4 linked regions of the Rhinolophus ferrumequinum genome follow. The protein of the gene in region 2 interacts with the protein of the main gene of each other region in a pairwise test. Links are inferred from orthologs where the notes say so. Each region holds a gene or a part of one and is shown on either strand. Other genes may lie near its edges. The genes, in order: CABP5, CEP76, NHLRC2 and SALL2.

The links.
Region 1: the proteins of CEP76 (region 2) and CABP5 interact in binary tests that used the Homo sapiens proteins (3 or more experiments, as listed by UniProt). The link is inferred for Rhinolophus ferrumequinum from reciprocal best matches to the Homo sapiens genes CEP76 and CABP5.
Region 3: the proteins of CEP76 (region 2) and NHLRC2 interact in binary tests that used the Homo sapiens proteins (3 or more experiments, as listed by UniProt). The two-hybrid records come from large-scale screens. The link is inferred for Rhinolophus ferrumequinum from reciprocal best matches to the Homo sapiens genes CEP76 and NHLRC2.
Region 4: the proteins of CEP76 (region 2) and SALL2 interact in binary tests that used the Homo sapiens proteins (3 or more experiments, as listed by UniProt). The two-hybrid records come from large-scale screens. The link is inferred for Rhinolophus ferrumequinum from reciprocal best matches to the Homo sapiens genes CEP76 and SALL2.

What each region holds. Positions count from the first base shown.
Region 1 is NC_046298.1:43,778,902-43,786,311, forward strand, and holds the start of CABP5 (calcium-binding protein 5), read right to left. Parts: upstream 3,017-7,410; 5' UTR 2,826-3,016; coding exon 2,763-2,825; intron 1,284-2,762; coding exon 1,253-1,283; intron 739-1,252; coding exon 595-738; intron 1-594. UniProt on the Homo sapiens protein: Inhibits calcium-dependent inactivation of L-type calcium channel and shifts voltage dependence of activation to more depolarized membrane potentials. Involved in the transmission of light signals.
Region 2 is NC_046302.1:5,540,047-5,547,784, forward strand, and holds the start of CEP76 (centrosomal protein of 76 kDa), read left to right. Parts: upstream 1-4,731; 5' UTR 4,732-5,072; coding exon 5,073-5,135; intron 5,136-6,189; coding exon 6,190-6,345; intron 6,346-7,028; exon of another isoform or gene 7,029-7,070; coding exon of another isoform or gene 7,071-7,103; intron 7,104-7,343; coding exon 7,344-7,425; intron 7,426-7,738. Other genes in the region: PSMG2 (proteasome assembly chaperone 2), read right to left, coding at 1,255-1,426, 4,425-4,481. UniProt on the Homo sapiens protein: Centrosomal protein involved in regulation of centriole duplication. Required to limit centriole duplication to once per cell cycle by preventing centriole reduplication.
Region 3 is NC_046299.1:14,139,216-14,147,060, forward strand, and holds the start of NHLRC2 (NHL repeat-containing protein 2), read right to left. Parts: upstream 3,014-7,845; 5' UTR 2,519-3,013; coding exon 2,341-2,518; intron 1-2,340. Other genes in the region: DCLRE1A (DNA cross-link repair 1A protein), read left to right, coding at 4,193-4,676. UniProt on the Homo sapiens protein: Required for normal embryonic development.
Region 4 is NC_046289.1:72,328,809-72,336,100, reverse strand, and holds the start of SALL2 (sal-like protein 2), read left to right. Parts: upstream 1-4,277; 5' UTR 4,278-4,473; coding exon 4,474-4,540; intron 4,541-4,910; coding exon 4,911-7,292. UniProt on the Homo sapiens protein: Probable transcription factor that plays a role in eye development before, during, and after optic fissure closure.

The sequences.
Region 1 (7,410 bases), on a different chromosome or scaffold from region 2:
CAGTAACATGCCCAGAAGCAAACCCAATAGCAATTGTATCCCAGCTCCCATCTCAAAATCAGCTTTGGTCACCACCTAAAAAAAAATCCATTCTCTTTGCAACACTATTCATCAACATTAGCTCCAAGTCTAAGTTTATTTCCAGCATCAAATGCAGTTCCAATCTTGTGCTCCACTGATGAATCTTATTGGTGATGATAATCAACAAATACTAAGCTTTTATGGAGGCTAAGCCTTTGCCTGTATTATCATCTTTATCCCTTCTATAATCCCACAAAATAAGGTATGATATCATCTTCACTTGACAAATGGGGAAACTGAGACTCAAGAGTGGGGGTTAACTCCACTTTTCAAAATGACCACAATTAGTAAATAAGAAAACTGGGAATTGAACTCAAATCTATCTTTAAAAGTCACTCTTTTAACCACTTCAACTGCTGCCTCCCTAGTATATTCTGAACTGTTTCCTTCTAGACTTCCAGCCCCTCTGACCCTCTTCCCTATCTCCAACTCTATTCTCAACCCTAGATCCTTCCCAATTCCACCCTTAGCCATCCCCTAACCCCAATCATCCCTCCCACCCACCGGCCTCACAGTTCATGCGGATCTGCTGGCCAAGTTCAGTCAGTTCCATCTCCGTGGGCATGTAACCCATTGTCCTCATGAGATTCCCCAAATCCTTACATGAGATGAACCCATCTCGGTCCTTGTCGAACTCAAGAAATGCCTCCCGGAGCTCTGAAAGTGAAGAGGGAAGAACTTTGGGGGAACTTGAAACAGTCAGTGAGGAAGAGCGGCATCCCTTGAAACCATCAACAAGGCACAGACTAGAGACTTTTCAAAGCAGAATACATTTTGAAAAACAAAAATTTCAATGGAGCGATGTATGAATGAAATATGTTAGCAAGAGCAATGATTCCTGAGACCACCAAATGATAGCACGGAAGTCCTTCCAATTCTTGGGTGAAGTTATAGGAAACTTTGAAACCATCAAAAGAAAAAACTAACATTCTAAAACTCATGTGTCGCTCCTGGGTCTCTGAGACACTTGGGGATGGGTATGCCTTCTAAACACTTTGGGAGGTACCGACACTGCCATGAGAAAGAGTTCCACAAAATCACAGTTAAGTGGAAAAAGAGAGCGAAGTACAATTTTCATCTGAGGGGACTGACACTGAAATGCACAAAGAGACAGAGAGCAGACAAGTGAGTGGATGGCGAAGTGGGGACATTTGGGGGGAGAAAGTGTTACCTTCAATCTCATCTTGTCCCAGTGGTCTTTCCTGGAGAGGAATGCAGGGGAGAGAGAATTTGGAGAGAAGGTCAGGTTCCAACATCCAATCTCAACACGTCCCCACATTTTCCCAAGCTACTCCTCACCCCTTCTTGTTTCTTCTCTCATTCTTGCTTCCCTCTACCCATCTCTTCTTCCTTCCATCTCCTGACTCTCATTTCACAGCTGTTTGCTTCTCTCCCTCTTCCTCACCCCTCTCATTTCCTCTCTCCCATCTTTGAATCTTGACATCCATCCCATTGTGTGGGAAGTGGTCTTATAGGCCATGGAACTGATCTCCAGAGGAAGAAAGGGAGACTCACAATCACAGCTAATGTGTTCAGAATGCTGACTCGGTGCCAGGCAGCCTCCGCAATCATTTCATTTAAATTTCAGAACCGCTCTGTGAGGCCAATCCACATATCATTCCCAACTTATTTAAGAGGAAACTGAGGGACAGAGAGGTTAAGGAACCTGCCCAAGGTCACACAGCTCCTAAGTGACGTTAAATCGCTCCCCCGAGGCTGTACAGCAAGCCAGGCCCAGGGAACACTGGGATTTGAATTCAGGGCTCCGGACTCCCAGGTCAGAATTCTTTCTATTACACCCCAACGACTTTTCCCACCCGCCTCCATCCTTTCTGCCAAGAGTTAGAATCCCTTTGTGAGGGACCAGTGTCCAGTGGCATCCAGGATGATGGGTGCCAGCATGACCGATGCCTAAAACCTTCAAGAATTTCCAGTTATTGTTGCCTCCACCCACTCCTGCATATGCCTGAAGGGTCAGGCTTGGCTACAAGGCACATCACCTGGGAAATTCCACCAACCTCTGGTCCCTTTCACCCCTTATCTGCCTTTATCCTTGGAACCTTTCCCCTAGCTTATTATTCCCTTCACCCTAAATCCCCTCCCTCCCTTATTTATTTTATTTTATTGGGGGGGATGATCTAAAGCCTAACAATTAAACGCATGCCCACTGAAATCAAACAGAACTGGCTCTGCCACTTACTAATTGCACAAGCTTAAAGCAAGTCACTTCATGACTCAGAGCCTGTTTCCACATCTGTAAAATGGGAATGAAAGTATTACCACCCTTACAAGTTCTGACAATTAAATGACATCAGGAATGCAAACCCTTTACACAGGGCTGGGCACAGAGCAGTGACTTAATAAGTGGCAGCTAGTGTCATCATCATCACGACTATAGGTGTCCACAGAAAACAAATCATGATGCCCGTCAATAATGACGTCATCCCAGTTTTCCTTTTTTTCTCCCCTTCACCTCCCCCATTTTGCTCCTGACTTCCAATTTCACCCTCACCCATTTCACTGACCCACGTCCTCACCATGTCCCTTGGAATTCTACCTTCTCAGCTCGTGCCCTCCCCACCTGTCCCCCTTGTTGCATTGCACCCGTCATGCCCCTTCTTTTCCCACATCCCAGCTCCCTTTGCCCTGCCCGCCATCCTTCCCACTGTCCCCAACCTCACCTTCTGTTTCTCAGCGATGCCTTTTCTCAAGAAGATGCAGGCAGGGCCCACGGGGAACTGCATGGAGGGGCAGGGCAGAGCTCACCAGGCACCGGTCTCAAGCTGGCCCCCCTCCTTCCCGTCCCCTTGGTGACTCAGCCTCCTTCTCTTCTCTATCACTTCTTTGCCAACTCTTCCTGCCTCTCAGCCTCTCCCTTGGTGCTCGTGTCATGGAGCTGTGACAGCTGGGTTGGAAATCTCCACTGGGGTTGGAGAGGGATCAGAGCGCTTCCTGCCTCCCCATCTGGTTTGAGTGGGACGGGAGGGGGAGCTGGTTTCCGGCTCTGACCTTTTTTATCCCCAGAATGGAATTGGATAGTTTCAAAAGTGGGGCTTCGAGCCCAGGGCACGTTGAGTGCTCGCTCGAAGCCTGGCCTCTGCTGGCCCTTGGGCGTGTGAAGATGGAGCGGGCACGGCCCCTGACCTCCAGGAGCTTTTGCGTAAGACAGGAGCGCGTGCCCAGGAGCAGGACACGGGACCTCCGAGACAACCTGACTTCAGGAAGGAAGACGGCAGGGAGGTTAAGGAAGTGGTATTTGTTCTTCCTTGCTCATCTCTTCCTACTTCAGGGAGAGGAGCAAGACAGGCGTCCATGCGGGTGCGGGGGTAGGGGAGGGTGAGAAGTCATGTGATATCCGAGCCCAAGGAGGCGATGAGGGTGTCCACACTGGGGGCTGGTTGGGGAGGGGACTGGGGACCATCAGTTTGGGGAGCCCGATTTCAAAAAGCGGTGGTGGAGTGAGGCAGGAGTCCCACAGAGAGGGGCCGCTCGGCTCACCGTGGGGGCCTGGGAAGGTGAGGGTGAACCCGTGGATGTGACAGCATGAGCTCAGTGAGGAGGGCATCCCTACGTAGGTGTGGTCGCCTAGGGTGGGGGTTTGTCCTGAAGACGCCCACTCACGGAGGCAGCATGCATAGGGTGCTGAAGCCAGATCAGGGCGAGAAAGGCGTCCCCACAGGGGTGCGATGACAACGCAGGAGGGAGATTGCTTATCTGTGGGGAGTATATTAAGGACAACGGGCATCAGGGCTGTCACTGTTGGAAAAGGGAGTGAATATAAAAGGGACAAAGTCGAATGAGCTCTGTGGTGTTGGGCTGGAACTGGAGGCACGGGTGTGTCACCATGGACTTCGGTATAGAGAGAGGGATAAAAACGAACACAGCTGTCACTGCCTGTGCAGGGACACGTGACCGTCCGTGGTCCAGCTCTCCAAGAGGACACAGAAGCTGTGAGACCCTGATACAATGAGCACCCCTCGCATCCAGATCTTGACTTCTAAATACCATTCTCCGGAGAAAAAGAACCAAGACTCCTAGGAGAACTGCTGGTTCCATGTCTGGAACAGGACAAGTGTAAGATGAGCCTAGAACACCCTGTGGTGCCATAAAGCAAACGTGCTCAAAGAGCGATGGGGACATGTCAGAAGGACACAGAGGTCAACTTGAAGTGCCACTGGCCATATCAGGGACCACATTTGAAAATCAAAATAAATAATAACAAATTACATAGGACAGGAAACCAGGAGTCCATACACACATAAAGGGAAAAGTCTGGTAATATTTGCATGGCTCAAAGTACAGTACCTCCTTTATACTAATTTCAAAGGAGTCACTTTATAGTGGGGAGGAAACCAGGCAGTAACTCTTTCTCAAATGATTAAAATGAACACGAGTAATGCGACAAATCAAACTTATGCACTTTGATTCATATGCAATTATGAATTATTGCTCCTGCAAACCTCCTTCTTGCGTACTTTGCCCGGAGCCAGGTCCAAGCATCATTTCCCTTGATGGCTTTCGACAATCGTTATAAAGAAAAGGATTTCACCAAGGGGATAGTCTGTGCTCCCGGCAACACCAGGGTCATCTCTGCAGAATCCGTGTACTCCAGCCATCAGCGTGACCTTTCACTCCCAGGCCTTCCTGTGTCACCTCCCTGCCTGGAGATAAGGTATCACATCCTTGCAGGGGCCCACGAGGATCTCAAGTCACTATAGTTAGTGGCAAAAGGTAGGGCCTTCTGCAGACCGCTGTGCTCAGACTCTGGTCCTCCATTTCCTAGGCAGTGACTTATATTCCTGTGCTTCATCTGGTAAATGGGATAACAAAAATACCCACATGGGGCTGTCATGAGGGTCCTTTGTGAATGAGGACGTCCTTGCCCCGCCCTGGCAGAGGGGACATGGTAGCCATGGCTGCTTGGGGAGGTGTGTTTGCAGGGGCCCTGCAGGGCTGTGGGAAGAGCGTGTCCCAGGCCCAGCTTTCATCAGGAGACCCAGTTCCACACCTAAGGGAACCACGGGGATTCCCAGACATGCAATATTTAACATCTAATCAAACGAGTATTGTTTTGCCTTAAACATATTATTTGAACTTCATAAATATGGAAGCACATTAATTTGCCAGTCCTCTAAGGCAGAGCTCTTTCAGTTAGGAAAGCTTTTAGCTGAGAAACACAAGCCATTTTAACAGTGGCATAATCACCCTTCCCTTCCACCCCCATGACAAGCCCAGTTAGCCAACTGCTGCCCTTGGTTCACTGGTTAAAGGTTTGTCAGGGCTACTTTGTCTGTGACTCTCCAGGCTTGGTTCTCATGATCACAAGCTGGCAGCCCCAGCTCCAACCATCATATCCATAGTCGGGGCAGGAAGAAGGGAAGGGCTGCCACCACCAAGTCTCCTTTTTGATCGGGAAAAATAGTACCAACCACATGACAGGCACCGCGCTAGGGGCTGGGGAATATAAGGATGAACAAGACACATCGGCCACTGCCTGCCCCTCAGGGGCAGGTCCGGAACACTTCTGGGGATTCTGAGGTCAGGCCTCGCCACCAGTTGGTGGGGGGCAGAGCTGGGAGTCTCACACAAGTCGCTGCGCTGTCTCCCAAGAGCATGGAGCCTGAACCCGACAGCTGTGGGGCTGGAGCCAGACTGCTGCGTCAGACCCCTGGCGCTGGCACCCCCAGCTGCGGCCGGGGTGAGCCCCTGCCGTCCTGGGCTGTGACAGTGCCTATCTGGTTAGGTCGTGGGGAGGTTACATGAATGCATGTACATACGAAGTTGAGACTGCCACCATCCAACAGCCACCACACATGGGGCTACTGAAGAGAAATTTAACTAAAAATAAATGGAATAGCGGGTTCTCAGTCACCGGCCACATTTCACATACTTGCCAGCCCCAGGGGCTCGTGGCTGTCACGCTGCACAGAGCGGAGGTGGAACATTCCATCACTGCAGAAAGTTCTGTTGGAAAGCGCTGCTTTCAGCAGTTCCTGGCACACTGCCACACGCTACCAAAGTGGGAGCTATGAGAGAGGAGCCCAGAGCCCGCACGGACCCTTGACGCTGAGCAGGTGATCAATAATTATTTATTGAAAAACATAACCAGATGAATCCCAGGCCCCCGCTGAAACGAACCACACACACACACACACACACACACACACACACACACACACGTGACCGCACACCGGATGTGCTTAGCCTTGGCGGCGCCCTCTTGAGTCCCCCGGGAGGGCGGGGCCTAGTAGAAAAACCCTCCGGGTCGGAGTCGGAGTCTGCACTGTGCTGCTTCTGAATCTGACTTTGCTTCCTGTACAAGATAGGCCACCTGAGAGGGGAGGGGGGAGTCAGAATCCCGGGGCTGCCCACCCCACCGCTCCATGCCAATCCACCTCTCCAGGGAGCGGGTCCGGCCATGCAAGCTGCCCCTGGGTGAGCCCTCCCCCGCTTCCGAGGGCCGCACCTGGGCACTGGTGGTGGCCTCCTCCGGCTTCTTGTCCTCACGGATGCGAATAAACCGAGGAAAGCGAAGGGAGATCCCCTTCTCACTGTCCACCTGGGGGGGGGGGGAATGATAGGACCGCAGTCCTCCCGTCAACGTGCCCCTGCTCCCGTACCTCTGGCCTGTTTCCACAGTGGGGCTAAGCGATGGGTTGTTGTGTAGGTTGGTGCAAAAGTCATTGCTGTTTTTGCAATTGTTTCTAACCTTTTAAACAGCAATGACTTTTGCGCCAACCTAATAAATAGGCAATAAAGAGCTTGGGACCGTCCCTGGTGCATAAGTGCTTAAGACATGCCAGCTGCGATAGCTGTTATTAATATGAGGGCTGAGAGGCAGAACAGCCGAGTCAGGGAGTGGATTCTGGAACCAGACTGGGGTTCAAATCCCAGCTCCCAACTCCTAGGAGCCGTGAGACCCGGCACCAGTTTGTTACCCGACCTCCCTGGGGCTCTATTTCCCCATCTGTAAAATGGGGCTGTTCAGTATTTTTGTGAGGAGTAAATAAGTGTACACAAGTGATGTGCTTATTAGCAGTGCCTGCTGCACATAAGGCTTGATACACGCTGCTCCCATCACTTGTTACCCAGGACTCTGACTAAGGTAGAGCACGAGTGAGAAATTTCAAAAAAAGAAATGAGATTCAAAAATATGAGATCCACCTTTAAATGGATGTCCACTTTTCACCAGAGAAGCGCATGCTAGATTTTGAAGGATCAGAAGAGATCTCAAAGGAAGATTAAATGTGAGATTTCCCACTCTCCTGCAGGAGAGCTGTCCTAGTGCTGTCACAGGGCAAGTTTTCCCTGATCCTTCAGCTGGTACTG
Region 2 (7,738 bases):
ACATTTTGGGGTAAATTGGGCCAATGTGAATATGGACAAGGTATAGAAAGCTAATATTGTGAAATGTGATATTTTAGCTATGTAAGAAAATGTTCTTAAATGATAAGTGATACATACTTACACATTTGGAGGTGAAGTGTCATGATATCTACAATTTATTTCAAAATATCTCATCTTAAAAAAGAATAAAATGGATTAAAGAACTATACCAATTGACGTGCTGTCAGTTTGTGTTAATGGAAATCCACTGGGTCTTCCACTAGAGTGAAGCTGCATTAGCAGGGGGCATGGTGCTTAAGAGGCAGGTCTCAAGGGCCAGAGTGCCTTGATTAGAAGTTCAGTTACACCAATTATTAATCATGTGACCTTAACTTCTCTGTGCAATGGTTGCCTCATCTATAAAACTACCTACGGAGTATTTGTGAGGATTAAATTAGTACATGTAAATACACATAGTATTCAACTTATAGGTAATAATAAATGGCAACTGTTATCATTAGTTGAAATATATAAATTGTAGTGCTAATATTTTTAGTCCTTTATTCTTTAAGGCAATAACTGAAATTCCATCTTTTATTAATAAAGCCATCTTTCCTGCAGAAATTTCAATATTATTTCTTGAAAGTGTATTTCATTATCACAAGCTAACAACATGGTTAATAAGACAGACAAAAAACAAAATACTTCTTTGTCTTTCAATCCACCACTAAATGGTTTTTCACGCTCCTCTATCACCTGCATGAATGGTTTTTCATGCTCCTCTATCAGCTCTGGCTATGACCTTAAAATGGTGAAAGAAGACTAAGGCCAACAGAGGAGTTGGCCATCAAACAAAGCAACTAGCTGCTCATGATCAACAGCTTTCCCCTTACTCAGCAATTCCACATTATAAATAAACAGTAATCAGTGCAATATAAAATGTGTTCCAATTAATCAAGCCTGATAGTCCAATGAGAATTATGGCACTTTATGGCATGGGAAAAGCCTACACTACAGCATTAGGCAACTCAATCTCTCCAAGCACTACTGATACTACAGTATCGTGGATTCCATAATAATGTGAGAGGATGACTGAAGCTTAGATGAGGTAGCACAAAACACATAGGACTGAGCTCAGTGAAATTCTCTTTTCCCCTTCCCTGGTATTAGTGATGCTTACCCATGTTTGCTACAAAAGCGTATCTGCAGAGTCTATGTCTAATTTAAAACAACTCTACTTTGTAGTAGAATACAATATACGGAGGTCATACATACCTTCAGCATTTATACTGAGTTCTGTTGAATTTTCTTCTGACGTTGCATATGGATTGTTTCCAACCATTGGCACAAGACAATCAGTATAGAAGTAACCAATCTTACACATATTCAGTGTAGAAATAATCAGATCTATTGCAAGTTGGCCAACATTTCCAACGGATACTGCTGGCTGAAATCATTTTAAAGAGTGTTTATTAAGGCATTGGCATTAGCAGCACTTTAAAGTTTGGACAGAAGACAATAATCACAGCACTAGTATTGAATGTTATGTTCAGGCGCATCATAGCTACCCTGTTTTCCTGAAAATAAGACCTAGCCGGACAATCAGCTCTAATGCGTCTTTCAGAGCAAAAATACAGTAGTACCTTGGTTTTCAAACACTGACGAACATTTCGGTTTATGAACGCCGTAAACCCAGAAGCAAATGCTTCAGTTTTTGAACATGCCTTGAAAGTTGAACATGTCACGCAGCTTCCGCTGAGTGCAACATCCTGAGGCCTAGCTGTTGGCTGTTTTCGAACGTTTCAGAACTCCAACGGTCTTCCAGAGCGATCACATTCAAAAACCGAGGTACCGCTGTATGAGATCCGGTACCTCGGATCTCATATCCTATCATATCATATCCTATCATATCATATCTGGTCTTATATTATAGTAAAATAAGGCCAGGTTTTATATCAATTTTTGCTCCAAAAGACACGTTAGAGCTGATTGTCCAGTTAGATCTTATTTTCAGGGAAACATGGTACATATTGACTCTCCTGTAGTTGCAAGCAAGGTACCAGCAGGGACCTCCTCCACCTTTGAGACTACAGATTTAACACTTACTGAACACCTACTATATGTCAATCGTTGCTCTAGGCACTGGGAATGTAAATCAAAAGTTCCTGCCTTTGTAAAGCTTCCATTCTAGGGAGAGTAGTTTACCTGCAGTAAACAAACAAACAAAAAAAAACCCCAGTAAAATATACAGTGTTAAGTGCAGTGGAGAAAAATTAAAGGACTGTCAGTGTGTGTGTATATGTTTGGCTGCAATTTTAAATAGGGTGGTCAAGAAAAGAATTGCTTTATAGACCTGAAAGAGATAAAGGAGGGCAGTGAGGTAGGAACAAAAGTGATGTTGGGGCCTCTTTCTGTTTGCTTTATTAGCGCCTAAATGTTGGAGTGAGCTTATTTTCACACTAAAAACACCACACACACACACACACACACCCCATGACTTCAAATAGTCCAACTGCCAAATCTGTAGCTACAGCCTGGAATACTCATCTAAACTCCAGAGCCTAATGTGTATCTCCACATGATTATGTCACAGGTAACTCACATCCAACATGTACAAAATTAAACTTTTGCCCAAAATTGTCCTCATATTTTGTATTTCAGAAAAGAGAAACAATTATTGAGCCAATTACCTAAACCAGGACACTTTTTCCTTTTCCTTTACCAACCATACCTAACGCACATCTAAATTTTATTGATTCTATTTTTTTTTCCTGGCCTTTGCATACTTTTCTGCGTCCTTCAGAGTGGTCTCCCACTTCTCATTGCTGTCATTGATTGCTGGTTATCCACTGTAATCCCCTTTCCCTTCTCAACGATTTTGCTACTTTCGTTAGATCCTCACTTTCCTGTATCATCTATCTTTTCCTCACTACTGGATTCTTCCCATCAGCATATACACATACTCTAATATCTTTCCTTGTAAAAAACCGTCTCTTGATCCCACACACTCCCCTAGCTACCACCTCACTTCCAGGTGTCCTTCCATAGCCAAAATTCCCCACGGTTGTCCACTAAAACATAAGCAGGAACTTTAGCTCTGAATTAATGAACAAATATATACGTATACACGTCTCCACCTCTTCCCCATTTATTCAACCCACTTTAATATGCTTCCCTCTTCACTGTTCCACTGATAACTTTTTTAAGGTTACCACCAATAATCTTTTAGACATTACTTTCTCTATGAAGCTTTTCTTTTTCATTTTTTTCTCCAGGTAGCTCCTGCAAAGGTACTTTTTCCATTTTGAGATTAATAAATATTTTTCAGGGAGATACTGTGAAATTATGGAAAATTCCCTTCCTCAAACACTATCGCACACTAATTTTGGCATTCATTGATATTTCATGCATTACAATGAAAACGGACCAAAAGTCATTTTTCTATTACCATCATTCTTTTTTGACATATAACACTGTATCACTTTTAGATACATAACATGATTGATATATGTATATACTGTGAAATGATTACCACAATAAGTTTAGTTAATATCCATCACCACAGTTACAATTTCTTATTGTGATAAAAACTTTTAATATCTACTCTCTTAGCAAACTGAAGGTTTGTACCTTTTGACTACTTCACCCATTTCACCCAACCACCCTTCCACTCTACCTCTCCAATTGTTCTCTGTAATCTATGAGTTTGGTGTTTTTTTCTTTCTTTCTATTTTTTTTTTTCTTTCTTTCTATTTTTTTTTTTTTTAAGATTCCACATATGACGCTTTGAACAGAGCCATGTGTCCCTCCCCCAATAAGTCCTAAGGCCTTTCTGTATCTTTTTAAAACTTCTATCCTAGCATATATTGCCTTTATTGATTTACGTGTTTCCTATTAGACTGTAAACTCTTTGAGAACATGGGCCTAGTGTTATTCTAATATCGTCACATCATAGAATGTTTATTGAAACAATGAATTAATATGGACAATTTTAAGAGCGATAGAACCATATGTTAGCTACTGGCAAAAGTTGCCTTGTTACTCTATTGTAATGTTCTGGTTAATGACTGACTTGCTAGCTTAAGAATGACGCTAAAACTAGTTGAAAAAAGATTTTCTAGTATAAAAAGCAAAGAGAACGTCCCGCACCACATATGTACAACGTATCGGTAACATCAAACACATTACGTTGTACAGTCAACAAAGACCACAAACTGGAGACTTAGATACAAGGTTTGGTGATAGCGCCAACAAAGGTTCTATTTGGACCGCCGCCTCCAGCGACAACCTCTCTACATTTTCGGCGCAGGCTTAAAACTCGAAATAGAAACAAGTACTCGCTTTCTCACAGGGCCGGACGAAAAATCCCGAGTTGGGGTGGCGGTACCGCAGGCGCCTCCCGAGAGGTAGCAGCCTCAAGCCAGTTCGCGAAATTGGAGACTCACCATCAGGAGGGTGAAACCCGCGAGATCCGGGACCGACTCTCCGTAGGGAACAAACATGGTCGCACTGCAGTGGGAAGAAGGAGATGAGTGCCGGCCTGGGAAGAACCGGGGCGGCGAGAAAGCGAGAACCACGAGCTCTCAAGGTCTGCACGCTCGAGCCCCTAGAACCCCGCGCGACCCGGGCAGGGCGGGGCCAGGCGGACTGGGTCCTTCGAGCCCTCGGCGCGAGGTCCTGAGAGGCTCGTCCACGTATCTGCCGTTCCAGAAAACAGAAAGGGACCTCGAGGGAGGGAGAAATGGGAGCGGAGAGCGCGCATCCAGAGACACTAGCAAGGCAAGGAGTTTGGCTGAGCTGAGGTCACGAGGTGGGGACCCCGAGGGAAGAGGAGTGGGTGGAGTTGACCAGGCAGAGCGGGGGACAGCTCCGAGGCCTGGTTGTCCGCTGCCGTTTGAAAACGACAGTTGGGCGCCGCCGCAGCCACGTCCCCGCCTCACGCTCAGCGCCGGGCTTGATGCGGCGTCGCGCCCCCGCGGGAGCTGCGCGAGGAAAGTGGTCGCGCCGGCTCTGTGCTCACCCCACACTGACGTTCTGGGGCCGGCTGGGGCACCTGAAGCGAAGGGAATCCGTGTTGAGGCGCCAGCCCCAGCATGTCGCTGCCTCCGGAGAAAGCCTCTGAGCTGAAGCAGCTTATCCACCAGCAGCTGAGCAAGGTGAGGGGCCGCGGGCGCTCTTCCCGCCAGTGGCCCCAAGTGTCCAGCTTTGTGTCCCTTGTCCCGGCCGACTGTGGCACCTGTTTGCTGGGGACTCAAGCAAAGGCTGTGAGACGCAGAGCGTGGGATGTGCAAAGCTTCGGGTTTGAAGCCAGAGGAACTGTCTAGGCTCGATAATGAGAACGAGCTCAGAAAGTGCTAGTAAGAGTCTGAGGTGATAGAACGGCGTTAGTATTATGGGACAGTTGTGAAAATGAAGCGTGTACCAATGACTTCTGGAAGTCATATCGAGTATAAGTTGTGTTTGGAGCAGGTTTATATTCAAAGGTCAGAAATTAGAATTAATTTAAGGGTGGAACTTCAGGTGTCATTGATATTGAACCAAATTGACAATTCTTAAAGAAGTTATGAAAGAATTTAGTAAGGATTTGTAATGAAAGCATTTGTGATACTTCAGAGCTCAAGAAGAACATTGTATCTTTGAGGTGCTCAACTGAATGCAATTAAGCTGAAGTAATAAAACCTACCGTTTATTGTGCACTCGGATGCCAGGCTTTGTACTAAGTGTTTAGCGTCTTTTATCTGAGCCTCACAATAACCTTGACGGCACTATTTTTTCCAGATTCATAAAAGGTAAATAAGTTAACTCAAGATCACATCTAATAAGTTGTAAGGTGAAAGTCATACTTTGATCCCCTCCCCTCGGTCTGTGTTCTTTTGATTATACTATACTCTTTCTCCAAAGATTGTTTTGGTTGAATGTTATTTGTGGGGAAATAGTAACAAAAGTAGTAGATAACCAGTAGAGATTATTTCTAGAATTTGTAGTATAAGTTTTCATTTAAAAAAATTTTTTTTCCTTTTAAAAATCTCGCCTTTATTATCTTTGAATTCTGGTAACAATTTTACATTTATTATTTGTTTGAGAAGCCTTCCCGATTTTAGTGTACTCTCCTATTATTCTTTTCTTTGTCAGTATTTTAGAAAGAAATGAACTAAGTGGCAATATTTGTCTGCTTTGTAATGTGAATTGTAATGTGAGTTTTCTACGTAGATGGATGTCCATGGCAGAATAAGAGAAATCCTTGCTGAGACAATACGGGAAGAATTAGCACCTGATCAACAACAGTTATCAACAGAAGATTTGATCAAAGCTCTTAGACGTCGTGGAATCATTGACGATGTGATGAAAGAACTTAATTTTGTTACTGTGAGTAAGCTTGTAGAGGAGAAAATCTGAGAGTCTAAGCATATTTTGGGGCCTCTTCTTTTAGTAAAACCACTTCAAAATATGGTAGCTTTGCCTAGTAATATCCTTGTTTCAAGTATAAACTAATTCTACAATTGAATGTAGATTCAATGTAGGATTATGTATCAATGAAATTGTACATATATACCATTCTTCTCTCTCTACAGTGACAGAATTTTCTCCTGTTATTCTCTAAGTCTGTAACTTTAAGTATATATATTTTAGTCAAACATAACCTAGTTGTTTTTCACTAATATTCTATAATTTTAAAAATTAGGCTTATTTTTAAAATAAACACTCGGGACAATATTATCTATGATTAAGAAATTATCAATTCCTTTAAGAAAATAATTGTCTGCATAAGAATCTTTAAAGCTTTTCAGACAAATAGGTCAGTAATGGAATGATAGCCTCCCTCTCAGTGTACAAATTAGTAAGTAGGCCTTTTGAAAATGAGGCAATAATGAGAAATTGTGACCTCAATACCTGGGAAATATAATGTAGAATTTGGATGGACTTCATAGTACACCAGGGGATAAGTATTTTAATACAGCCTCGTTTTTTTGGTTTTTGAGGTTTGTAAACCCATTTGGTATAAAAATTGACCTAATAACAGTTTCTGCTGTGTGTGAATATCACTTCCTTATTAAAATCAGTTCATGGTACAATCATAAGCCAAATGTTATATGAGGTTTAGAGAAAGTTTGACCTTGTTTGAGGTATTAAGGATTTTTTTTTAGCATTCTGTGGACATTGCTTGAAGACAGTTTAGTTCCTTAACATTAAACTGTAGGACTGACTAGTTGCATCACCTTTTTTGCAGGCTTTTCATTATTTGAACTGTTTGAGGAAAATAAGGGGCTTTATTCTATCTTCTTTTGGTTTGGTTCTTAGTTCCATTATTGGCATTTCTTAATTATAATTTTTGTTTTCTGATTTGTATTTTTCTGCCTTTCTAGGACAGTGTTGATCAAGAACTTCCTTCCTCTCCAAAACAATCAGTTTGTTTTACTGATAAACAATCAACGTTGTTAAAAAAAAGTATGTGTATTTCTTTTTAACCTTAATTTACTTGTGGATAGTACTGTGAATAGACGTGCTGTAGTGTTTGGTATTTGATAGAAAACACTTCAATTTTTTTTTCCAGAATGAAATACTTATATTTTTGTGACTAATCCAAAAAGCTTCAATTCTGTTTTGCATGATATCAGAAGATTTAATGTATAGCAAAGTGGAAGCAAAAATAGGACCGCCTGTTTCTCATGTTTTAGTAATATATTTTATAAAAATTTTACAACTGTGTTTTTTTAGTGGCTATGTAATTATCTCACAAGTACACTTTGCTGAGTTGAGA
Region 3 (7,845 bases), on a different chromosome or scaffold from region 2:
CTTCCCTACAAAGAAAAATAAAATCTCATTAATCTGTACTTTTGCAAATCACAATTTATAACCACTTGACCATGATTTACAATTTTAATTATGCACTATGAAGATTTTGTTAAACTAATAGTAAAGGTACAGCATCTTCATTCAACAAATTTAAGAAAGGAACCATAATGAGTTTGATACAAGAAAATAAAAGTAGCTACTAAAACAATTATACCTTTTTGAAAGTACAGTTGACATACAATATTTAATTATACATTGAAACAGATATTTGGAAATATTTTATAGAAACTGAAAGCCAGAGTTGGGTGGAACAATTGCTTAATAACAGCTAATGACTAATAACAGTAACTGGAATTACTCAATTATAACAAAATTCTAAAAAAATCTGCAAATGAAACTAACATTTCTGCCAATCCAACCTAGTGAGGTTTTAGGGTACAGTGAACTCTTAGTTATCCACTTTAATAAAGGGGATACCAGGTTAATTGTATACCAGGTCAAGTGATCATATAAAACTTCAAATTAATTAATGTATATTTTACATCCTAATTACAAAATACTTATGAATCTGTCTTCTAAATTTATTTTCTGTAAATAGTCAACAGCGACTTAGATGGGGGCAGGGAAAGTATTATTATATGTCAGTTGTTGTGTTAGGCGCTTATCAGGTTTAATAATAAGTTTTAAAATTATAATTACAGTGAATATAATTTTAAAAGCTGCTAAGACTTACGGAGCTCTCCTTTGAACTAAGAACTTTAGGTATATTAACTCCAATCCACATAATAAACTTGAAAAATAAATACTCATTCCTTTTTCTAAGTGAGCAAAGTAGGCTTGGAGAAGTAACTTGCTCAAAATCATGCAGCTAACAAATGGAATCACTTGGGATTTAATCTCAGGTCTCTCTGAATCTATCCACTATACCACTCTGGTTCCCATAAACGTGTTTAAGAAATGAACAAAGCATACTGTTTTTGAGATAGCGTTATGTTTATGACTTCTTGATTACAGTTTATTGATAAAGAAACCAAGAAAAAACTCATCTCTAGTATTCTGTCCTCAATAATTAGGTCCAGCAGAAAATTTCCCGTTGTCAAATACAAAGCCTGAATATTTTGTAACATTATTTACCAGTCACAGAGGTCAAATATCATGGTAATAAAATACACTCACTGTCAATACAAACAAGACTAGAAAATAAAAACATTGGCCCAAATCCTAGCTGATGACCTGCTTTTTTATAACAGTATACTATATAACTAACTTCTCACAAAGTTTTTTAAAAATGTGCACATATATATACAATCTTTTAAAGTTTCCTTGATAAGCACTCATGCACCCAATTCTTTTGTAGGAATTCCACAAACTTTCAAATCCAGGATAGGATTAATAATAGAAAAAAATAAGCACTTTTCAAGGTGGAAGCAAAAGGCTTGGAAAAGACATACAAGACTGTTGTCAGAGGTAAGGTTCCCATATACCTCCCGTTAGATACTGAACCCTGCCACATCCAACCAATTAACTATACATGTGGTTTCAGTGTCATGCCAGGAGACATGCCAACAGCACCAGGCAACACAATGACAGTCCCAACCAAAGAAGGTAAAGTAGGGTTTCATTTATCATAGCAAGATGTGCTTCACAAATAGCACTGCCGGGCATATCAGTTCCCTCACGTTCCCAAAACGTACAGAGCCAGCCGGGATTCAAACCGTGGAGATGGGCCACAATGGATTCACGGCGAAGTGTGGCACAAGGAAGAAACCGGCCAATCTGGGGTCTCTATAATCCGACTCTGGCAGATATTGGTTGTTAGGCCCTGGGCAAATGACTTACCCTCCCAGGGCCTCAGTTTCCTCAACTGTAAAATAGGGCTAATAATGAGTTCCTCAATGGGTAGAGAGGATTAAATAAGATAAACAATAGCCCTTCGGTGTTTAGAACTGTGTACCACATAAGTGATCACTAAATAAGTGATCAATAAATGCCAGCTAGGATGATGAAAGATGAGGACAATGACCATGTTGAGCAACCAGACTGAAAGAACAGGGTGGCGTCGACATTTCAGTCATTGCCAACTGGGGCCACTAAACATCCATGGAATGTCTACTTAGTTAACCCAAGTCCTGGATGGGACTCGGGATATAGGGACGAAAATGCAGGTCCCCACCCTCCGGAGGACACCTGGGAATTGCAGAGCCGCCGCTGAAGTTGGGCAAAGCGCCAGCCCGGGTGCAGCGACCCACCCCCGCCTCGCCCACCGCTTCAGGGGAGGGCACTGTCCCTGAGGAAGGGGAGGTTCCGGGAGGGGTCCCCACCCCGAAGCCAGCCCCTCACCTTCCGGGAACTCGGGCACTAGTAAGTCCTGCTCCCAGCCGTCCACCTTCTGCAGATACTGGTAGACCAGGTTATTCTTCTCCTCCTGGGTGACGGCGTCGAGCAGGGCGTACTCCAACGAGGTCTGAGCCGGGAGCAGGCCCGAGAGGCTGCAGCTCCGGGTTCCGGGGGCCGCCATGTTCTCTCCGGACAGTACAGAGGCGGCCGCCGGGCCCGCGGGGCAGGCTCGTTTGGGAAGAGAAGAAGCGTTTACTGTCCTTTGGTTTCAAAACGTCACTTTCACCGTACTCCCTCCACCAGGCCCAGTCCACACTAACGATACTTTTTTCTTTCGTAAGCATGCATTCAAATGCTAAAATACTACAAATCGCCGCAATTCCCGGGCACGGAATTAAACTACCGCCCCAAACCACCCCGCCCCTTCTGTATCTTCTCGCCACAGCCGAGCCTGGACATTCAGAACGCCAGATTCAACACGAAAAGGCCTCGGGGTTAGCGTTCTAGAAGCTCTAAGAGTACTGTCCCCCCACCTTTCACTTTGGAAATTAATGGGTTTTAGAACAAAAAAATAAATCCGTAGGACTTAAAAACGGGCACGGGTTTTTTTGTGGGTTTTTTTCGGCCTGTATAAAGCCTGGCTGTTAGACCGGGACCAGCCGATTCGACACAGCACTGGCGGGGGAAGCAGTTCCCGCCAAGGCAAGAAAGGTAAAGGAGTAGGGATATCCTTAAGGGAAAGGCTTTTTAAAGTTGGGGGTGACTGGCCGATGGCTTTGGCTTATACACAAATGCATTATTTCATCGCTCTGCAGGTGCTGAAAGTGCGGGCGAGAAGAGATTTGTAGCAGAGCTGGAGGAGGGGGGTCGCTGAGGGGAGCGGACGCAGCTGGAGCTGTTCCCTGGGGGTGCTGCTGGCAGGTGGGCGGATGCGAGGCTCTCCGAGCGCTGGGCTTCTGCCTTTAGCAGGGCAGGGCTGTGATTGCTTTTACGGAGCGGCTGTGTTAGCAGCTCATTCGCTCCCTGCCCTGGACGGGTAAGACCCCACTCTGTCCTCGCTGTCTCCTGTGTCCAAAGAGAAGGCAGAGACCTTGGGAGGCGTCGGGCAGGTGAACCTTGGTTTTGAGGCTGGTGGAGAAAGGGCTGGCCACCTCCAGGCAGACCGCCTCTGTGGTGTCTGGACTTAGGAGTGGGGCCTCAGTGCAGGCATGACTTCACACATTTGAATTTTGTTTATTGTGCAGTGTTTGTTCATTGCTGCTGGAGGAAGATGTTGGCCTGACCCAGGAAACTGAAGTTGTTGAATATCAACGAGTCACGGAGAAGAGCAATTACGTTTATTGAGAAGCACACACTTGGATTGTGGAGTGACTGTGTTAATTAGAAACTGAGGTAGCCATTTTACTGCTCAGAACACCTGCTGAGCCAGTTGTCCAGGGACTGTGAATTATTTGGGCAGTTGTCCAGTTGAAAGAGAATAGGAGCTTTATAACAATTTTACGAAGCTTGTTCTGAGATTGTCAGTACTTAATTTTCAAAGTATTACTGATTCTTATTTTTTTGAATCGAGTCATGGAAGAGGCCGAGGTATCTGAATGAAATAGTAGCCAAAATAGAAAACTTCTGAGATGCTACCCCTGGGGTAGGTTATCTTAATTTTATTGTGGTATAAATGAAACAGCAGGTGTTCTCACCTATAAGGTTTGTAGTTTGCCAATATATTCATTACCAGAGTTTTCGATTCCCATGAAGTTAGTGGGGTTTTTGTTAAGCTTTTTCTCAGCAAAAAAATTCCATTTAAAAATTTTGTAACAAGAAATAGACTCTCAATGTAATAAAGATTAGTGCTTCTTGAATGATAGAAATCATTTTTGCCATGTCAGAAGATACTTTTTTGGAAGAAGACATCTGGGAATACAAATCCAAAAGGAAAGTAAAACGAATACATCCAAATAATTGCTCTGAGAATATTCCAAAACCTGTTGGAAAAGCAACAGATGGAAAGAAACAGTCCAAACGAAACAGAAATAAAAGAACTGTGGAAGCAAAAGAGAAGATAAAGGACCCTGAAATGTGCCTTGGAGCATCAGATAATCAGACTTCTGTAGCTTCTAGTCAGAATTCTAGTTGTGGAGATGGTATCCAGCCGTCCCAAGGCAAGGAGACCACTCCAAGAAAGCAGAGTAGGACTCCCAAAAACAAACAAGTGTCTCCGAAGATACGCACAGTTTATGATGGCTACTGTCCAAATTGCCAGATGCCTTTTTCCTCATTGCTAGGTCAAACACCTCGATGGCATGTTTTTGAGTGTTTGGATTCTCCATCAGTCTCTGAAACAGGTAAGATTACAAAAAAGATGGTGGTCTTTAAATAGGCCTATATTAGGCCAGACATATCAGTCCAGTGACACAAGCAAGGCCACCAATAAACCAAGAGAGATGAGACACTGTTAAGTATAAATGACCCTAGAGGCAAACAAGGTAATTAATTGACTCTTAAGAAGGATAAAAAGATAACAGTTGATGGTATAATTATAAAGAATGTTGCAAACTTAAAAATAGTTTAAATGCATTTTGTTTCATGAAAGTCCCTAAACATCTCAATTATTTTTCATAAATGTTAATTGGGCACATACTATCCTAGATACATTCACTCTGTTGACTTGACTGTCACGACGATCGCACAAGGTAGGTGGTATTGACATTTTATAGATGTGGCTTCTTAAAAGTTAAACAACTTGCCCATTTTGTTATTTTTTATGAAACAGACTTTTAGAGAATTAAGAGTATAGTCCAGTCTTCTAAATATAGTTATGTGGATTCATCATGCTAATGTACAGAAAGAGGAACTGGGACTCTTAGGTTATGAAGATTCTAGTAAGAATGTGTCAGTTGGTAACTGAAGTAATGCTAAGTTTTTATCTTTTAAAATATATAATTAATGTCATGTTTAATATGTAGAAAATCCAACTTGGAGTATACGGAGAATGGTTTATGATGATTTGTATATTTTAAAGTTATATATACCATACATAGATTTTTAAATCTCAAAGAATTAAAATTCAGTAAAATAAAAATAATACTCAGTATGGCTTTCATGTTAAATATGATTCACAAGACATTTCATTATTAACCTCTAGTTATCATTTTAAAGTTCTGCATGAAGATGCAAAAGAACTCTTTTTAAAATTTGGCATTAGCCTTTCTTATACAAGTATAGCGAGTGGTAGCCTCATCAAATGCTAGTAATTTGCTTTTAAGTGGTTTGAATACCAGAAGTGGAAGTTGGAGTCCCATGGTGACCACCTCAGGGTCAAATATTTTATAGATAAAGCCACCTCAAAGAGATTTTTCTTTTTTCCTGACGAAACTCCTTTGTACAGAATCTCAGATGAACTCATCTTGAATTCAACTCTGTTCTATAACAAATACTTCTAGGAAGTGGTTTTAAGTTAAGTTTTAAGCAATGAAGTCTTCTAATTTAATGTAACATCTTTTTTTTTGGGGGGGGGAGATCATTTTTTTTTATAAACCTAGAAATGAAAATACAAGGGGATATGCCAAGATGGTTTACAGAATGTTTCTCCATCATAATGGTATGATAGGGAATGGTTTTCAGATTATTAAAGCCTTATTATTAACCAGTTTATCAAATTGAATTTCACATCTTAGAACAGAATCTAAATTATCCAGGGTATGGGCAACTATAATTAAGATTGTTGTTATTGTATACAGTGAGAATGTTAAATAAATAATGAAATCTGATTTGGTACAATTGTCATAAATCTGTTGCTTGGTAAGATAAACATATGTGTGAGAGATATACCAGTCTTCTTTATTTTTTATTGTCTGAGCAATAGTGAACTAGTGACACAGATGGTGTCAGTTTGTAGCACATGATTATGAAATACGTAATGCAAGCATACATGGATTTTGAAGCTCATATTTGTGAGAGTTACTTAGCGGGGACAAACGTGTTAGTCTTAAAAATTTTTTTGCGAAAAGATTATTTGAAAAGAAATTTAAGAGTATTTGATTTGAAAATAATAACTAGCACCTTGCAAAACCATACTGTACTACTGTTATTTTATGCTGAGCTTTTGATTTGCATAAAGATAGTTATTGTCCCAAGGCCTCAAGTAGGGCTGATGACTTTCTACTTATGTGTTAATTTATAGTGCTAATGCTGTTAAAGCTTCGTCTGTGTTTTGATCCTATAATACTTCTTTCTTTATTAAAATTTTCAGAGTGTCCTGATGGTCTTCTGTGTACCTCAACAATTCCTTCTCATTACAAGAGATATACTCACCTCCTGCTAGCTCAAAGCAGGGCGAGTAATGGTCCTTTCAGCAGTCCATCACCTGGGTCAGCTGGTAGTTTCAGTGAGACTAATTCAAGCTTTCTTTGTAGTCTTGAGGAAGGATGTTATCCAAATCAGAAACAAACTGAGAACTTACAAAATGTATCAGCTGATCACTTCTTGGTGACACAGTGTCTAAGAAAATCTCAGTTTCCAGCTGAAACAAATAAAAATATTTCCTTTTCAACAAATAGTGACACAGATGGTGTCAGTTTGTAGCACATGATTATGAAATACGTAATGCAAGCATACATGGATTTTGAAGCTCATATTTGTGAGAGTTACTTAGCGGGGACAAACGTGTTAGTCTTAAAATTTTTTTTGCGAAAAGATTATTTGAAAAGAAATTTAAGAGTATTTGATTTGAAAATAATAACTAGCACCTTGCAAAACCATACTGTACTACTGTTATTTTATGCTGAGCTTTTGATTTGCATAAAGATAGTTATTGTCCCAAGGCCTCAAGTAGGGCTGATGACTTTCTACTTATGTGTTAATTTATAGTGCTAATGCTGTTAAAGCTTCGTCTGTGTTTTGATCCTATAATACTTCTTTCTTTATTAAAATTTTCAGAGTGTCCTGATGGTCTTCTGTGTACCTCAACAATTCCTTCTCATTACAAGAGATATACTCACCTCCTGCTAGCTCAAAGCAGGGCGAGTAATGGTCCTTTCAGCAGTCCATCACCTGGGTCAGCTGGTAGTTTCAGTGAGACTAATTCAAGCTTTCTTTGTAGTCTTGAGGAAGGATGTTATCCAAATCAGAAACAAACTGAGAACTTACAAAATGTATCAGCTGATCACTTCTTGGTGACACAGTGTCTAAGAAAATCTCAGTTTCCAGCTGAAACAAATAAAAATATTTCCTTTTCAACAAATAGTGACACAGATGGTGTCAGTTTGTAGCACATGATTATGAAATACGTAATGCAAGCATACATGGATTTTGAAGCTCATATTTGTGAGAGTTACTTAGCGGGGACAAACGTGTTAGTCTTAAAAATTTTTTTGCGAAAAGATTATTTGAAAAGAAATTTAAGAGTATTTGATTTGAAAATAATAACTAGCACCTTGCAAAACCATACTGTACTACTGTTATTTTATGCTGAGCTTTTGATTTGCATAAAGATAGTTATTGTCCCAAGGCCTC
Region 4 (7,292 bases), on a different chromosome or scaffold from region 2:
AAGAGAACCCTTCTGAGTGGATAGAAGTAACTCAGGCATGGTAGACAGAGCACCGAAGAAGGAAGCAGAAAATCTGGTTTTCAGTCTAGCTTGGACGTTGAAGCTATGTGTCCTTGGGCAAGTCCTTTCTTCTTCCAGGGCTTCAGCTTTGGCCTTTCCTTTAAATAATTATACTCATTGCTAATACTTGTGGAGTATTCACTATTCGTCAGGTATTATGTTAGGCCTTGTATGTATTGCCTCTTGTTTATTCCTCCCAAATTCCTATTATAACCTCCATTCCATTTTTAAAAAAACTTTTTATTGTGGTAAAGTATATATAAAAATTACCATTATAACTATTTTGAAATGTAAAATTCAGTGCCTTAAGTATATTTACAATGCTGTGCAACCATCACCACCATCCATATCCAGAACTCTTTCATCTTGCAAAACTGAAACTCTATACTCATTAAACAATAACTCCCCATTCCTCTCCCCCCACCCCCTGGCAACCACCATTTTCTATGAATTTATCAATTCTAGGTACCTCATATAATGGAAGCATATAATAATTTGTCCTTTTGTGTCTGGCTTATTTCACTTAGCATAATGTTTTCAAGGTTCATCCATGTTGTAGCATGTGTTAGCATTCATTCTTTATATGGCCACATCTCCATTTTAAAGATGAGAAATCCAAGCCTGAGATAGATTAAGAAACTTTCCCAAGGTCACGAAGATAAAGTGCTAGAACTGGGACTTTAACTCAGGTCTTTTTGATTCAGAGCTGGCACTCTCAGTCACTGTGCTCACTCAATGAAAGGGTCAGATCTCTCAAGTCCCTTCCAGCTCCAAAATAGTATGAATTTCATGTGAAGTTCTGAATCCTTTGATGTCAGAAAAATGTCCATTAAAACAAACAAACAAACTTTTTAATGTTTGATCGTAGATATTCCTATACTGGAAACAAATATATTTTTGTCACTTAGCACTGGATGTACAAATCATTGTGTCTGTTTGTCTACTGTATTGCACAGGCCGTGGGTGACAAAGGACTATGTATGTGTATTTAGGAGAGAGGAGTGGAAGAGAATATGGGATATTATCCCTTAGAAGTAGTCTACAACAGCAGTTACAAAATCAATTCATAATTATGGACACTACCAATTAGTGTTGGTCCAACATTAACAGTAAGTTTAGGCAGGTGTTTACATAATGTGTTTTGTTTCTTTAACGGCTGGAAAATGCTTGAACTCCGTGTAGAACAAAGCTTTTCATCTTACAATTAGAAATGTGGCTCAAGATGCACATTGGGAAATGCAATATAGTCCCTTATACTCACAGACAGGTGTAAATCATCAAATTCTGTTCATGGAAGCAGGATACAAGAGAGCTAAAGTGTGGCTGTAGACAGAGAAGAGAGGGAGCCTGACAGGAGGACTTCGCAGCAAGCAGCTCATTTTGCCTCTGCCCTAATTTTGGCTGGGTTGAGCATAGATAAGACTTGTGAGGAGCGGGGTGGAAGGTTTGATGGGAAGGGCTGTACTCTGATAGATACTATGGTTCTCATCCTTGGCTGGACAGTGGAATCTTCTGAGGAGCTTTACATACTGATGTCTGGGTCTCACCCTCTAGGATTCTGAATTAATTGATCTGGGGTGTGGCCTGGCCATCGGTATTTTTAAAAGCTTTCCTGGTAATTGTAATCGGCAGCAAAGTTTGAGAACTACTGTCTGACTAGACCACCCTGCTGGGCACTATCCCCCTATTTTCCTGTTTGTTCTCCCCAGTCATTCTCTCCCTAACCTAAAGCAGCAGTTTGGTGGGCCACTAGGTTTTCAAGAGCCACCTGGTTTCCTTTTCCCTTGTCATTTCTGCACTTTATAAATTTAAACAAGCATGTCCAGGTCTTAGTCCTACATCCATCCCAGATTTTGCATGTGACCCAGGATAGTTTACCTCACCTTATCTGCTATCTAGGGACACCATTACCAGCTTAGTTTATTCCAGTGTTTTTGACTTCATTTGTGTCTGCCTAAGAATCCTGCCCCCCTTTTCAGGATAGGCAGTGAGTGCAAAGTGCTGAGAAATAGAGGGTTCCTCTTACAGGTGGCTGTTGATCCGTCACCTTTCACCAGGGACTAAATTTACCTTAAAGAAGAGCTTAGATCAAATTACGCATCAGAAAGCAAGTTTCATTAAAGAGCAAGAAAGGGGACAGTGTTTCCCATGAGAAGATGAAAAGAAAAGGATTTCTTTTCTTGTCGGAAGACTTGACAAAACAGCAACTTGATATCAAATGTTCAATGCTAATTAACAAATGCTCAGTAGAAAGCTTCCATCTGATTCCCTCGCCCTTACTCAGGCCAGAGAGCAAATGACAGGTAGGAACCACACAGGGCCCTTTCTCTAGCATTAGGAAGTCACAGTGTAGGTGTGCTTCAGAAAGCACTGGACCGGAGTCAAAATTCTGAATGCTTCCTTCACTCAATTACTGTGCGGACTTGGGAAAGTCACTTAACTTCTCCACGCTTATATTTCCGTATGTGTAAAAATCCACAACATTGCACTAACCTGTGACTTGCCATAATTACAATAGGTCCTCCATGCCCTCACTGTAAGGGTCAGGCCTGGAGCTCATCTGTTTCAGAGTCATCATTCACAATGTTAAGATCCTTATGATTATCTGAAGTTTCAAAGCATAAGTCAGTAAAATGTTTTTAATTTAAAAAGATAGCAAAATTTATGTTGAAAAGTGAAGTGGATGTTCCTAATACTGGCTTGTTTCAGCTCCCTCCGAAAAAGACTCCCTACCCTTGCCAACATCTTACCTCAGAAATTAGTAAGATTAATAAGCAATATGACAAACATCTAATTTTAGTATATGTGTATTTCAGTTTATTTTGATTGTCTTGCCACTGACAATGTAAATTTTCTAATCCATTATATTTGGGACTCCCCCCAAAATTTAAAGTCCCATATGTACATACTAATATTGTGAAGAGTTTTTCAAGTTTTTGTCCCTATAATATTTCTCTGGGGAAGATAGCACAGCTACAATATTACCATTTTACAAAAAGGGCAATGGTGGCATAGTGTGCTCTGACTGATCACCATGCCTCAACTTACCAGCCAGGCAAGAATAGAACTGAGATTAGAACAACATGGGTTTACTGGTGCCCAGGAAAACCACCAAACTAAGGACTTGTGGTTACCTCCTGTAAGTAAAAGAAAGTATTTTTATGAAGTGGGAAATCCATTAAGATTCATTTCAAGGTAGAACGGAAATGCAGAGTACCTGGTCTCTGAATAGGAGGTGGCCTCAATAGGAGGTGGCTGTCAGCAGGTTTTAAGTTATGTCTAGGTATTCAAACCAGGTTGGAGCTGAAAGGAGCTGTAGACACAGGCTGCCTGGAAGCTCCTGCTGCATTTCCCCCATTGTTTCAGGAGGATCTCCCCTCCCCCAAGGTTAGAGCTAGGTGGGCCTCTGGAGGCTAGCATCTCCCCAAGGCCAACTGTCCTTAATAGTGACAGTGTGTGTCCATAAGAGAAGGACAATGAAGGAAGAAGGGTGGAGAAGTGGGTTCTAAATAGAAGATGGCTCCTTAAATAAGCATGAACTCTATAAGTTATGTGTGGGGTGGGTGATCTGTGGAGTAACTTGCATTCAGCTCTTATTCTGGAGGAGGAGGGGCCCTGAGTAAAGGGACTTGCAGAGTGGAGTCCAGAAATGACTTCCTTGGAAATTCTACCTTCCAGCCTCCCACCCGAAGAAACTTCTTTGGGGGATAGAAGGGGCGGTCTGTGTAAGGTTAGGGTGGGAATGGAGGTGAAGAAGACAGGACAAAACTTGGGGTGTATGGGGGTGTTAATGAGGGGTGGATGTTCGGGGCTTCCCTTCTGGCTCTCTCCTCCGAGATCGGACCGCCCTCTCTGGAGAGCATGTTTTACAGGCTCAGCGGATCCTTTATCCAAAGAAAAATAGGAGAAGCCTGTCGCTTTGCTCTGCTGAGCAGGGTTGTGTTTCCCCCTTTGCCCCCTTGAGCTCCCTGGCTGGGCAGGCCTGGGCAAAGACATCTGGAGATAGGGGGAGCTGGCAGAGAGCAAGGAAAGATGGACCCCCACCACACCCCACAGCACCTGTCACTGAGCCTCGGTAAACCCTCCTAGGCCCTGGGTTCCCGCCCCAAACATCCCCCTCCCCTCCCGCCTCCCTCCCCAGCAGCTCCTCCGCACAAACTCCCCTCCCCAGCAGCTCCTCCCCCATCTCCCCTCTCCCTGCTTTCTCGCTCTGGCTCCTCCCTCCTCTGTGCCTCCTCGATCCCCTCCCCCTCCTCCGCGGCTCCCTGCCCCCGCTGCCTCCACCGATCTCCATCTCTGCAGACTGGGCCGCTGGGTACGACGCTGCCGCATCCCCGGCGGCCACCGCCGCCTCCCCCAATCCCCAAACCCATTGTCTCCCACTCCACCCAGCCCTCCACCTCCCCCACGACCATGGCGCACGAAGCCTTGAGAAGCTCTCTTCTCGGGGGTCCCTGCGGGGAGCCGGCGGAGCTTGGAGGTGCGGTAGGGCCCAGCCCGGGCAGGGGTGGGGGCCGAAGGGACGCGCAGGGGGAGGGGAGGAAGGACTTTCGGTGAAGGGGATCAAACGCACGGTTCTCTGCATAGGCCCTCTTCCTTGCGCCTGCCTGTGGCCCGGGTTTGGGCGGGGGAGAGCAGAGGAAGGCAGTAGCTTGCGCGTGCTCCCTCCCCCCCGTGCTGGGGTTCTCGTATCAAGGAGGGTCAGGACTGAGCTCTAGCCTTCCGCTTGGCCTGATGGTGAGCTCATCTCCCCACCCCCAACTAGCGGTTACTGGGCTCATTGTTAATTAGAGCCTCCGTATACCCATTCCAACCGCGCCACCCACGCTCTCTCCTTGTCTTCTCCCCAGGTGATGCTAGCGAGGAGGACCACCCCCAAGTCTGTGCCAAATGCTGCGCACAATTCACTGACCCAACTGAATTCCTCGCCCACCAGAATGCATGCTCTACTGACCCCCCTGTAATGGTGATAATTGGGGGCCAGGAGAACCCCAACAACTCTTCGACCTCTTCTGAACCCCGGCCTGAGGGCCACAACAGTCCCCAGGTCATGGACGCAGAGCACAGCAACCCCCCAGATTCTGGGTCCTCGGTGCCCACAGATCCCACCTGGGGCCCAGAGCGGAGAGGAGAGGAGTCTGCGGGGCATTTTCTGGTCGCTGCCACAGGTACAGCAGCTGGGGGAGGTGGGGGCCTGATCTTGGCCAGTCCCAAGCTGGGAGCAACCCCCTTACCTCCAGAATCCACCCCTGCACCCCCTCCTCCTCCACCGCCACCTCCGCCCCCAGGTGTAGGCAGCGGCCACTTGAACATCCCTCTGATCTTGGAAGAGCTCCGGGTGCTGCAGCAGCGGCAGATCCATCAGATGCAGATGACTGAGCAAATCTGCCGGCAGGTACTGCTGCTTGGATCCTTAGGCCAGACAGTGGGCGCCCCTGCCAGTCCCTCAGAGTTACCTGGGACAGGGACTGCCTCCTCCACCAAGCCCCTGCTTCCCCTCTTCAGCCCTATCAAGCCTGTCCAAACTGGCAAGACACTGGCACCTTCCTCCTCCACCTCCTCCTCCTCAGGGGCAGAAACACCCAAGCAGGCTTTCTTCCACCTTTATCATCCACTGGGGTCACAGCACCCTTTTTCTGCTGGAGGGGTTGGGCGAAGCCACAAGCCCACGCCTGCCCCCTCCCCAGCCCTGCCAGGCAGCACAGATCAGCTGATTGCCTCGCCTCATCTGGCATTCCCAGGCACCACGGGACTACTGGCAGCACAGTGTCTTGGGGCAGCCCGAGGCCTCGAGGCCGCTGCCTCCCCAGGGCTCCTGAAGCCAAAGAATGGAAGTGGTGAGCTGGGCTATGGGGAAGTGATGGGTCCCTTGGAGAAACCCGGTGGACGACACAAATGCCGCTTCTGTGCCAAAGTATTTGGCAGTGACAGTGCCCTGCAGATCCACCTGCGTTCACACACAGGTGAGAGGCCCTATAAATGTAATGTCTGTGGCAACCGCTTTACCACCCGCGGCAACCTCAAAGTGCATTTCCACCGTCATCGTGAGAAGTACCCACACGTGCAGATGAATCCTCACCCGGTGCCAGAGCACCTAGACTACGTCATCACCAGCAGCGGCCTGCCTTATGGTATGTCTGTGCCACCAGAGAAAGCTGAGGAGGAGGCAGCCATGCCAGGTGGAGGTGTGGAACGCAAGCCTCTGGTGGCCTCCACCACAGCACTCAGTGCCACAGAAAGCCTGACACTACTCTCCACTGGTGCAGGCACAGCCACAGCTCCTGCGCTCCCTGCTTTCAATAAGTTTGTGCTCATGAAAGCAGTAGAGCCAAAGAGTAAAGCTGATGAAAATACCCCTCCAGGGACTGAGGCCTCCGCCATCTCCGGGGTAGCAGAAAGTGGCACAGCAACCCGCATGCAGCTAAGTAAGCTGGTAACTTCACTACCCAGCTGGGCACTGCTTACCAACCACTTTAAATCCACTGGGAGCTTCCCCTTCCCCTATGTGCTAGAGCCCTTGGGGACCTCACCCTCTGAGACATCAAAGCTACAGCAACTGGTAGAAAAGATTGACCGACAGGGAGCTGTGGCAGTGGCCTCTACTGCCTCAGGAGCCCCCACCACCTCTGCCCCTGCAGCTTCATCCTCAGCCTCATCCGGACCTAACCAGTGTGTCATCTGCCTCCGGGTGCTAAGCTGTCCTCGAGCACTGCGCCTGCATTATGGCCAACATGGAGGTGAGCGGCCCTTCAAATGCAAAGTGTGTGGCAGAGCCTTCTCCACACGAGGCAATCTGCGTGCACATTTTGTGGGCCACAAGGCCAGCCCAGCTGCCCGGGCTCAGAACTCCTGCCCCATCTGCCAGAAGAAGTTCACCAACGCTGTTACTCTGCAGCAGCATGTTCGGATGCACCTGGGGGGCCAAATCCCCAACGGTAGTACCACATTCCCCGAAGGCGGGGGAGCTGCCCAGGAGAATGGCTCTGAGCAGTCTACAGTCTCTGGAGCAGGGAGTTTCCCTCAGCAGCCATCCCAGCCATCCCCAGAAGAGGAATTGTCTGAAGAGGAGGAAGAGGACGAGGAAGAAGACGAAGATGTAACCGATGAAGATTCTCTGGTAGGAAGAGGTTCAGAGAGTGGAGGTGAGAAGGCAATATCAGTGCGAGGTGATTCGGAAGAAGCATCTGGGGCAGAGGAGGAAGTGGGGACAGTGGTGGCAGCAGCCACAGCTG